3 linked regions of the Coturnix japonica genome follow. The protein of the gene in region 1 interacts with the protein of each later gene in a pairwise test. Links are inferred from orthologs where the notes say so. Each region holds a gene or a part of one and is shown in the gene's direction. Other genes may lie near its edges. The genes, in order: THAP1, C14H7orf50 and transcription elongation factor A protein 2-like.

The links.
Region 2: the proteins of THAP1 (region 1) and C14H7orf50 interact in binary tests that used the Homo sapiens proteins (3 or more experiments, as listed by UniProt). The two-hybrid records come from large-scale screens. The link is inferred for Coturnix japonica from reciprocal best matches to the Homo sapiens genes THAP1 and CHLSN.
Region 3: the proteins of THAP1 (region 1) and transcription elongation factor A protein 2-like interact in binary tests that used the Homo sapiens proteins (3 or more experiments, as listed by UniProt). The two-hybrid records come from large-scale screens. The link is inferred for Coturnix japonica from reciprocal best matches to the Homo sapiens genes THAP1 and TCEA2.

The regions. Positions count from the first base shown.
Region 1 is NC_029547.1:47,539,708-47,543,372, reverse strand, and holds the start of THAP1 (THAP domain-containing protein 1), read left to right. Parts: upstream 1-816; 5' UTR 817-857; coding exon 858-928; intron 929-1,118; coding exon 1,119-1,314; intron 1,315-3,665. UniProt on the Homo sapiens protein: DNA-binding transcription regulator that regulates endothelial cell proliferation and G1/S cell-cycle progression.
Region 2 is NC_029529.1:2,396,115-2,399,765, reverse strand, and holds part of C14H7orf50 (uncharacterized protein C7orf50 homolog), read left to right. Parts: intron 1-499; coding exon 500-675; intron 676-3,651. UniProt on the Homo sapiens protein: Hormone secreted from the intestine in response to cholesterol, where it acts to inhibit cholesterol synthesis in the liver and VLDL secretion,leading to a reduction in circulating cholesterol levels. Acts through binding to its receptor, GPR146.
Region 3 is NC_029535.1:8,417,561-8,421,211, reverse strand, and holds part of transcription elongation factor A protein 2-like, read left to right. Parts: intron 1-246; coding exon 247-352; intron 353-1,375; coding exon 1,376-1,466; intron 1,467-3,651. UniProt on the Homo sapiens protein: Necessary for efficient RNA polymerase II transcription elongation past template-encoded arresting sites.

The DNA.
Region 1 (3,665 bases):
CCACCGGCCCCACGCCCCGCCCCGGTCCCGCCGTCTGCCCGCCCCAACGCCGCCGCCTCCCCCGAGCTCCCCGCCGCCGGCCCCCGGCTCAGAGGGGCTGCGCGGGGCTCCGCGAGGGGCCGCGCTCCGAATTCGGCGCTCGCTTATAGACCGGCTTATTGCCCTTCTCTCCATCCTGTGTCTCTGAGGGGTTCCGGACCCCATCCTGGAGCTGCTTCGCGCGGCTCCTGCCCTTTGCTCCCGCTGTGGGTGCGCCATAGGGCGCTGCCCGCACCCCTGCTCCCGACACCAGCGCCCGCTGCCCGCCCCGCACGGGACAGCGAGATCGGGACATGGGGCGCTCCGGGGGAACGGCCCGCTGCTGTTAGTCGCTGGTGTAATACAGGGAATGGTACGGCGGAGCGCACTCCGCGTTAACTTTTTGTACTCCATCGCGTCGGTGTATTGTTAGCTCACCCTAACACCTCAGCAGGGCCCAGCAGCCCACACACACCCGCACCCCATCCCGCCCTGGGGGCGCTCTGCCGCCGCGCCGCAGCTGCCCCTGAGGTAGTTCCGGAGCGAGGGGCGGGAGCAAGGCAGAGCGCCGCTCCGATTGGACGATCTGCTTCCCGAGGCCCCGCCCCCCATGAGAGGACCCACCAATGGGCAAGGGCGGCGCGCCGTAGCACCGCGAGAGTTGCTCTGAAGCTGGTGCCGCCATCTTGGAGTTGGGAGAGGCCGCGTCCCGTTGCCGTCCCTCTCGGAGGGTCACCGGCGGGGGGGGACGGGGCACGATGGCGGCCCCACGGTGAGCGGACGGCACCTGGGAGCCCCTCCTCGCGCCGCTGGGCGGCGGCGGCCGCGGGGCCGGCGGGATGGTGCAGTCGTGTTCTGCCTACCGCTGCCGGAACCGATACGACAAAGAGAAGCCCATCTCCTTCCACAAGTGAGCGCGGGCGGCGGGACGGGGTGGGGCGGGGCGGGGCGGGGCGGGCAGGGCGCCAGGGCGGGGACAGGGCCGCGGGTGTGCGACCTCCCGACGCAAGGGGGCGCTGGGCGGCGGGAGAGGGGCTGGGATGGTGGGCCCGGCGTGAATAAAGAGTTTGAGAAACGCTGAAAATAGCTGTTGTTGTCAGGTTTCCTTTGACCAGGCCTGACCTGTGCAAGAAATGGGAGGCGGCGGTGAAAAGGAAAAACTTCAAACCCACCAAGTACAGCAGCATCTGCTCCGAGCACTTCACGCCCGACTGCTTCAAGCGGGAGTGCAACAACAAGCTGCTGAAAGAAAATGCTGTGCCCACTATATTCTGTTACACTGAGCCCAGTGAAAAGGTAAGCGCACACTGCTCACAGCCCCAGGTGCCGAAATGCACTGTGCAGCTTCTCCTGTCATTAAGGCCATTTGTCATCACTGCAGTTGTGTTACTGGTGCTGTCCTGTTGTAACAACTGCAGGCTGACATTTGTATCTGGGTGTTAACTGCACTGGGTAGGGCTTTGATTGTTCACAATCAGACCATCCCAAAAATATGACAGATAATACAAGGCCCTGGGACTTTTCAGGACTGATGGCCCATTCTTTCTCCTGTAAATCAGAAGACAGTGCTTGCTGTGTTCTTTATTGCAGATAGAGTTGCAGAGGCTAGTATTAAATCATCAGCATAATGTTATAGCTTCACATCAGGTGTCTTGTTCTAGTTAGCCAGGTCCAGAGCTATTAAGTCATGGCTACAGGTAGGACTATCCAGATGCCCCTGTGAAAGAACCCAAAAAGTCCAGCCTCCTACAAAATAGCATTAACTGCAAAATTGTGTTATAATTCAGAGCACCATCTGCTAGCCACTTTTCTTGATCTTCCAGAGTATGTGTTGGCCACCACTGACAATATATAAAACTAGTGCCTGTCTGTTGAATATTGAACATATTTAGGCAGTTTACTTGTGTTCCAGAGCTAACATAAACCCTTTCTCATGCTCAGGGCATCATCTGTATTTTTCCACACAGTATACAATGTTCGATTTAATGCAGAAATAAAGAAGGAACATCTAGAAAATGAAAAGTGGAAATAATAGGCAAGAGACCATACATAGCACAAGGTATAAAGTGAAATGTGGACCATTTTCAGGTCTGCTTTTTGTGCTAAGATCTGTTTGATGACGGTTCCCCACAATCTTAGCAACATATTTCCTATGTCACTTAAAATTGTTTGCAAAACTTATTGCAGTGTGAAAGCTGAAGGTATTTAATATTGACATCAATGCAGTAGTTCTGAGCCACATTCTCTCATTCATTGCAGTACCTGGCTTTATGAGTGCACAGAACAGTGGCTCCTTATGGAAAAGGAGTTGGTGGTGCTACTATTTATGTCACAGCAGCTTTCAGTGTATCTTCAAGACATTGAATAGTAGTGAATAAGGACAGCATTTTTTTTAAATTCATACTGATTTTGAGATACAGCATTTTTTGCATCATAATTCTTGAAATACTTTTTTAGCTATGTCTGACAACCATTTACTGGATGTAAGAAGGAATAAGAACTCACTTGTGACGTGTGAGCAGTATGAACGATGAGCTCTCTGTGACACACAGTGACAGCAGTAACACAGCATGTGCTGCGTAGCTCTTGAATACATGCCTCTGTCTGAATGCAGCTGTCTGGCAACAATGCCATTTTTGCTCGTGCTTCTAACATGGGCAGAATTCTCTCTGCACATTATGTCTTTGGTTTGTCATCTTAGCTGAAAAGTTTGAAAGCTGTAGGTCAGACATTTTAGAATATTGGTATGTGATTTAGATGGACACACCTGGAGCATCCACTTCTTATAACTGAGAACTGACACAGGCAGTGGGCTGGTTTTGTACTTTAAAGTGATCAGTAATACCTGAGCAATGTGAAACTTCCCCTCAGTACCAGAAGTGGAACTGTGTTCTCAGTTCCTGTGCCTAATGTAGTTTGTACAAGGATGACATCTGTACTTCCCAATCTGACTGTTGACTTGTTCTTTATGTTAAGGCAAGAAGCTTAATAATGTGATCTTCCAGTCTCAAGAGGGGACAGTTGGTGGCTGTTAAAATTGAAGATGCGATCATCTTCATGCTTTTATTTGTAGTAATAATGTTGGGGACAGGGAATTAAAAAATCGGTTTCAGTGTCTCTTTCACTGAGACATTCTTAGGCTTTTGGGTTTTTTTTGGTTTTTTTTTTGTTTTTTTTTTTTTAAACGGGTAGTATACATTATGTGTGCATTTCTGAATAAAGTATGTTCCTCTGGGGCAGAATAATCAGAATTCTCTTTGACCTCCTCCCAAGTGATGACAGGTATGCATTGTTCTGAACCGTGCAAGTGTCTGAACCTATCTGGAGCAGTATGGTGAAGCCTGCAGTATGATGTGGGAATGAGCTCGCTTAGTGTTCTGCTCTATCCCATCTGCCAGCCACCCAGTCCTATTTTCTTACTCCTTCCATATGACAGCTCTCACTGCATGGCTTTGACTTTAATGCAGGACAGAACTTTATTGCAGCGATGGTGGAAGTGTGAATAGCTTTCTGTCATCTTAGCAACATCCTGTATTTAGGGAAGGATTCATAACAGAGCTGGGAGAGCTGTTTATTTTGGCTCATCACATCACCAAACCCTTCTGCTGCGATCCCAAAACAATGTGATGGTCAGTCCTAGTTGTGAA
Region 2 (3,651 bases), on another chromosome or scaffold:
AGGGGAACTCAGGCCCATGATTGGAAGGCAGAGGTTTTCTCAGTCCAGGACAGTGTGATCTTACAGTCCCAGTCCTAAAGGAATGTTATTCCCATATACATGTGTATGTGCTAAAAAATTCCATACCCTCCCTCCACTGTGAGCAGCCTCTGCTGCTCATATCCCTTCTTATTACAAGAGCACAAACAGCACAATAAATCTTGGAAATATGTTTAGTACCGAGCAAAGGAAGTGCTTGCTTTGATTGCTGTACTGCTGAGATGGGTGTTCTCAACTATAGAGGACAGAAAAGGCCTCTGCAGACTTCTGCAAGAGCAGCATTTACAGTTCTGTGAGCTGAACAGTGTAGAAGCTTCACATTGGTGTATGGTAAAATTATGAAGCCTGAAGCTGCTGGGTTAAAATATTAACTGTGCCCTCCCTTCAGTTGCATTTATGAATGTTTTGTTCACCTTGTTATAGAAACAGAATCACTTGATTTAAATGTTTATTGTTTCAGGCAGCAGATGAAGAGGAAGATCTTAGCCCAGAGGAAAGGAGGAAATTGGAAAGAAAATTTAAAAAAGAATGCAAGAAAGAAGAAAAAAAGCTGATGAGAGAAGCCGGAATCTCTACTAAGAAAGCAGAACCCAAGAAGCTGTCAGGATCTGAACTGGCTCTGGCCTATTTAACCAGGTAATGCTGCGAGCAGCACTGCAGGTGCTCTGTGCAGAAGCAAACTATAAACCATGCCAGGAATCCTGAACAAGCTGAACCAAGAAATAAAGTGTTAGAGGAAAGTGGTGCAGTTAAGTAATAAGCTAAAGCTTCATTCCAGTTGACACCCTTTCACCTCATTTTATGTATAGCACAGTAACAACTGAAGAATGTTGAGTACGGCACAAACATTTTATAGACAGACAGCTCCTGTCCCAGAGATCCTGTACCTGATATATAAATATCCCTGGATTAGCTGCACTCACAGAGATGAAGGGCATATTATAGAAAAGGTTGCATTGAGGTTGAACTAGTTTTATGTGCGCTGTTTTAAACAAAGGAGATTTGGGTGTTCTCTCTATGTAAGCATATTGCATTATAGAGTCCTCACTTAACCTAATGCATGATATTTGGATATTTGTAAAGTAAGACACAATTATGCCACCATTTTAAAGTGAATAGTTTATGGTGCCTTAATTCTGCATACCAAAGTATACAGGGAGTCCAGTGGCCTATTTCGGATCGGAAGCAATTACTTTAGCTAGCATACTGATTTAGAATACTTTGAATTCCAACATAAAGCAACATCTATGTTTAAAATAGCTGAAACAAAGCATTCATGGTACGCTGCAGACAGTAAGAGGTCATGTATAAGCAGGAAAGTAGTATTTATTTTTTCCCTGAACTACAGAATAGACCCTGTCTCTAAAACCTGCAGAGGGCTGGCGTGATACCAGCAGTGGGTTACCACGGGGAATCATTCCATCGCTGCATCTCTGGCCACGCTTAAAACTGAAGCATGCAGACTGTCTGAGTTGTTACTTACCACTCTCAGTGGGGAGGGAGGAAATTAATTGCATTCCAGGCAGAGGGACATGTGCTGCATTTTTGTTACATAACCCTCAGCACGCAGAGATAGCAAAACGACAATAATAGTTTTGATCTGGAAAACAGCTGGAATGGTTCACCACTGTTTTGAACTGCAGATGGATTGACAGTTATCTTTGAACCATCTGCTCCAACTCTACTCTGGTATGTGTGCGAGTAAGTGGCGGATCTAGAGATAATGGTTTTCAGGTTTGGAAGGCAAAGGAGCAAGCTGTGGGCTTTTGGGTTGATATTCTGCTTCTATCTGTATGGATTTGTGCCTTGTTAGATGAGAGAGTATGAAACTATATTTGAACTAATTTGACTGCAGTGTTTCACTTAACCTGCACCAAATGACCTCGAGCAGTATGCTGGCAACACAGCATGGGCTTGTAATAGCAGAGCCCCACAGCTCTGGGTATGGCAGCACGTTGTCTGGGGTTATGTCAGCAACAGATGGTTTGAATTTTGTACGCTTACCAGGGATAGCAGTAAGATGCTGAACTGCCAAATGAACGTAACCGTAGGGTGTGTTCTGCCCTGTGTGTCCTGTGACTTCCTTGTGTCCTTGGAGCCCACTGTAAAAGCCCTGACTCCTTCAGTGGGTCAGGGATTTCAGTCTGTTTGGTTTTGTGGGGCTGCAGGTGTGAATGACACATGGAGCTCATCCTACAGATGCGGGACCGCAGTGCAATGGGAGGTAAACAAAAGGCTGCTGTGGATTTATGGTTTGCCCCACCTACAGCAGAAAACCTGACATTAAATAACGCTAAGTGAGGTGGCATTTTAATTCCCCGATGACAAGTGAATCTCCTGCACTACAGGTGGAACTTGAAGTACCATATAATAATTAAGGCAGCCATTTTTATTAGTTAAGAGACTGACTGTTCACAGCACGAGAGCACAACTGAGGCTTCAGCTTTATCGGGAATTTGTTTCAGTTTTGATAACCTTCGAAGGAAAATGGGAACAGTAATTCACTGGAAGAGTTCTACTGCAAGTAGACTTTCGACATGCAAGGGAAAATCCAGCTTGTTTTGTAGGTCAGACATTTATTCAGAGGTGATGCTTCTCAGAGTGCACGGACATCTTTTCTGCTCTGTGGGATGAAATGAAGAGGAATTCTCCTCTTGAAAAGGAGGAAAGAAAAGGAGGAATTATGCTTGGAAAAGGTAACAGTGGTGCTGAACAGGAGGAAGGGAACAGTGAAGCAGGAGGGAAGAGCTGGGTGCTGGTGGTTGTACAGGGCTTTTCCTCTTAACAGTGACGTTCCTCTTTTCTTTTAGGATGATTCACTTCTAAATGCAAGGTCAGAATGCCTCCTTTCTTTGATTCTTAGAAAATAGGAAATAAGTGTCATACCTTTTAAAGCAATAAGTGCCTTCAAATGAAAAGATGTTGCAATTCATGAGAATTCTAATTAGATGTAATTATAACCCAACTGACCTTCCGTGGTGCTAAAATGTTGGCAGAACTTGTTTGCCTCGGCAAGTCACTCTCCTCTAGAAATGTTTCTGTTCCCATGCTTAGCTCAGCAAGCTGTTGCTATATGGATCTGCACGTATGGATTTCTGCATCACCCACCATAGGAATAGAAATGAGAATAGGTGTCACCTGAAGCACGTGGAAGCTGATATCTTTTGTAGAAGGATCAGATAACAGCACTGTATGGATATTGCTGTGAATTACCTGAGCCTTACAATGTTATCTACCAGATACTTACACTGGAAAAATAAGCTGCTGAAGTGTGTTTCTTTTCTCTCTGTCATGATTTATATGCTACCAGCACTGAGTGTCACCGGGGTGTTTCCCAGGGCATCGTGTTTTCAGTTTCCTATGCAGAGGCTGCTTTTGTATTGCTGCCTTAAATTTAGGTGAGAATGTCAGAGACACCCTCAGAAAATAAGAAAGTAAGTGAAAATAAGATGCTTACCACAATGATATAAAGCAAGGGCACGTTTCAGAGCACAGAAATAAGACAGTTTGGCACTGGGTGGGGAAATGGTGTGGCTGCAGGACGTGGCACTGTGCAGGAGTGCCGTGCTGCAGGATGGAAGCAGAGCTTCAACCTGGGTCAGGCTGGAGAAG
Region 3 (3,651 bases), on another chromosome or scaffold:
TAAACTTAAATGACTAAGACATGTAGAGGAGGTGTTTGGGAATGATGGGATGCCTGGTTTGTGATCAGTCCCAGCAATCTGGGCACTGCCATCCCTTGCTTTTGGGGTTGAAAAGAGCAGATTGCTCTGGGAACCCATGGATATTGTGTGTCGTCGTCATTATTTTGACTTTGCTTATTTCTGATTTCAGCTGGTAACAAATAACGTATCTGTTCTTGAATAATTCACGTGCATGTTCACTTGCAGTCCACCCGCATTGGTATGTCAGTGAATGCACTGAGGAAGCAGAGCACAGATGAAGAGGTAATAGCTCTTGCCAAATCACTCATCAAATCTTGGAAAAAACTTCTAGGTAAGAAAATCACTTTCCTATCAGATTCCACTTATGAAGGTGCTGGTTTCAGTGGGAGGCTGGTTTTATCAGGAGGACTTGTGCATCCATATAGAACATTATAGCAAACCAACCTTGACAATTGCATTGGGTTTCATCTACTGCCATGCAAACTGGTTGTTTGAGATCCTGTTGTCAACCCAATAGCTAGTTAGCTGGAAAAGCTTCAGAACTATTCTAATATGATAATGCAACATTAGTTATAGAAACAATATCTGTACTCTTAACCTGACTTGTGTGCTAGGTGGCATTCATACAGCATGTGCTGTCAGCCTCGTACCTCAGCTTAGAAAGAGAAATACTGGAATGGATTTTGGGTGATGACTTGGAGAAGGATCTCAGTTTAACAACTTGCAGACAAATTCACATTGTTTTCTGCTGGAGGGGCTTTCATGGTGGTTGGCACTGAGCAGAAGCGGCAACTGGCCTTTCCACATCAGAGCTGATGCGTGTTGGCTTGGCTCAGACAGTTTGCCTCTGGATGAAACTAGTTCTACAGTGTAATGAGAGTCATCTTCAGGGCTGTGCTCTTGGCTTTCAGCAGCACTTCGGAAGTGCAAGACTCCCAGAAGGACCAGCCCTTAGTGGCCCTTCAGATGATGTTGGCTTGAAATACTGCATGTGGTGACACTTGAGAGAACTTCATCTAATCTGTACTGGGCACTCAGGTTCTTTGAAAGGAACTTTTGTGATGAGTCAGGTCTTGTGAGGAAGCTTATCTGTTGTGGAGGGAAGGTGACTGATCCCTGCTTTCTGGTTCAGTAGGGAAAGGTTTTGTTTAAGTTAGCTTCTTAAAGGCAAGGAAGAGGTCTGCATGCAAGGCTATAAAAGCTTTCTTCGTCATTTTAAAATTCTTTTTGTAGATCAATTTGCCTTGGGCCAACTCTGTGAAGTCATTGCTTAGTATATGCAGGGTTGCAGCATACAGAGCAGTTCTGAACAGTGATGCATCCAAGTTTGCTTTTTCTTTTTGTCCAAATTTAGATGCTTCAGAGGAAAAAAGTGAGGAGAAGAAGAAAAACCTGTCCTTGCCAACATCTTCCTCAAAGGAAACTGGTAACTCAAGAGACCAAAGGTAATGCTTCCCTTTAGTTGGGGATGATACTGTTATCTAATTTGAATATTTTCTTAGCATCTTACTTGAATTTTCACTTTTAAGTATCTGGGGATTTTTGTGTGCATAAACTCCTGGTCAAGGCTCACTAGGAGTCTAGGCTTCCTCAGAGGTGAGCTGTGTGGTGTGTTTAATACCGAACTGTTATGCAGACAGGTATTCCCTTCTCCAGGGTGTGGACAGGTGAAAGATCTGTTGTAGTTTTAGCAGGGTTAGGAACTGAGTTAGTGGTTGAGGTAAGAGCTTTTGAGCATCCCCATACAGCTAAAGGGAGGCAGCTGGCTCTTCTGTGTAAGGCCAGGAGCTCAGGTGGAAGCACTTGCCTTTCCCCTTCCCCAACAGGCCCAGCTGACAAGTATTACAGAGTTGTCTGTTTAATTCAGGAAGCAGTACTGCAGTTGAAAGAAAAAGGGAAACTTCAATGGGATCTTGGCTGTAGGTAGTGAGACAACCCTCCCCTTCTTTCTTGGGCAGATGGTTGTCATAGGATGTGTGGAATGGGGCCTCCTGGTTTGTACTGCTACCCTTACACTGTGCCTTGAGGGTATGCTGCAGCTACTGCTGGTTTTTCCCTTGATCCTTGTTGTATGTTCCTCCACCAGCCTTTTGAATGGCAAAGCATCCCCTTGGTTGGTGAAGGATAAACAGAAGCAAAGGGAGGAGCTTAGCACAGATCCAACATAGTGGTGAGCTCCTGATGTCAGGCTGAGCCAGGTGCTGTGCAGAGTGCAGTGCTTATTCTCCTGTGCTGCAAAATGAACTGTTAATCTGCCTTGGAGGAAAAAATACATATATATTAGCAGCAAGGAGTTCTTGGCTTTGCTTTTTGAAGTGTAGGCTGTGATGAAAGGAGCCTGACTTGCTTCTCAGTGCATGCATGCAGGTTCAGATGAGGCTGCTATCAAAGCACCAGAGAGATCAGCTTGTATTCAGATACTTCAGCCACTTATTTTGATAGATTTTGGCTACACCTTCCTCTTCTGTCAGGGAGAAAAGCCCAAATAGCTCTTGGCTTGCAGTTTCTCTTACTTTCTGGAGTACAGATGTAGCAATCCCTCTGTAGTGACTGGAGAGCTAATGCTGCTATAGACCTGCAGGCTCTGAGCCAGCCAGCATGGGGCTGGCACCTGCATGATTGCTGTATTACTGTAATCCCCTGTGCTGTAGTACGTTCAGCCATTACAGTAGTACATCTTAATGGACAATGTCTAATGTTTTTCTGGCAGCTTTTTCTGGGCCTCTCTGAAGCTTTTATTGGGAAGTTTTGGATCTGTGGCCTTAATTCAGCTCTTCCGTGAGATTTTTTTCTTCCAGTTCAGCCCTGAGTTATGTTTATAATCCCTGGCTGTTGCTTTGCACCATTTGGTTTTAGCATAGATGTTTGTTTTTTGTATGTGCATGAACTTTTGTTGTCTGGATAGATTTACAAGCTCCTTCTCCTGTTCAACAGGAACAGTGTGAACCGCAAGGATTTCCTGAAATAAGTCTTCTAGGTGTGTTTGAGGTCTATTTCCCACTATTCTAATTATAAACTAACTTTTGAAGCTTAATAAATAGCTCTCTGTCCAGCTTTTGGAACAGCTCAGGAGCCTGTTTGGTCTAACTCAGGAGTGATCAGTTGTTTTTTCTCTTGTCATATATTATGATTCTATATGCAGTGTAAATTCTGTTGAGTATTTTTAGCTCTTTGGACACCTAATAAATGTGTTTCTTAGGAGCTTGTTGCAGTGCTGACCGGTAAAACTAGCTAGCAACAAGTCTGTATTCACTGGGTAAGAGTGTAAGTGAGCTGACAATAGAATGTTCAAAGTGCTTTTATTTCATCTGAGAGAGAAATGAATCTTCCAGCTCTGCTTTGACTCGAACAGCATGCTGAAGGTACATGGTGGGCCCTTCTGAATAGGGCCCAGTGAGGTTCTGAGCTGTGGCAATCCAGCAGCTCTGATGATGATCTGAGGGCTTCGAGGCACTGCAGAGCCAGACAGGATTTTGACTTGGCAGCAGTGGGATCCCTGTGCTCAGTTCCTGAGGCTGTCTGGCTCTGTGCACGCAGCTGTGGGTTCAGAAGGCTTCCAGCTCAGCTCTGCCCTGCTGTGGGCTAACTAATCCCTTCCCTGGCAGTGCAGTGGAAGTGCTTGTTGATGAG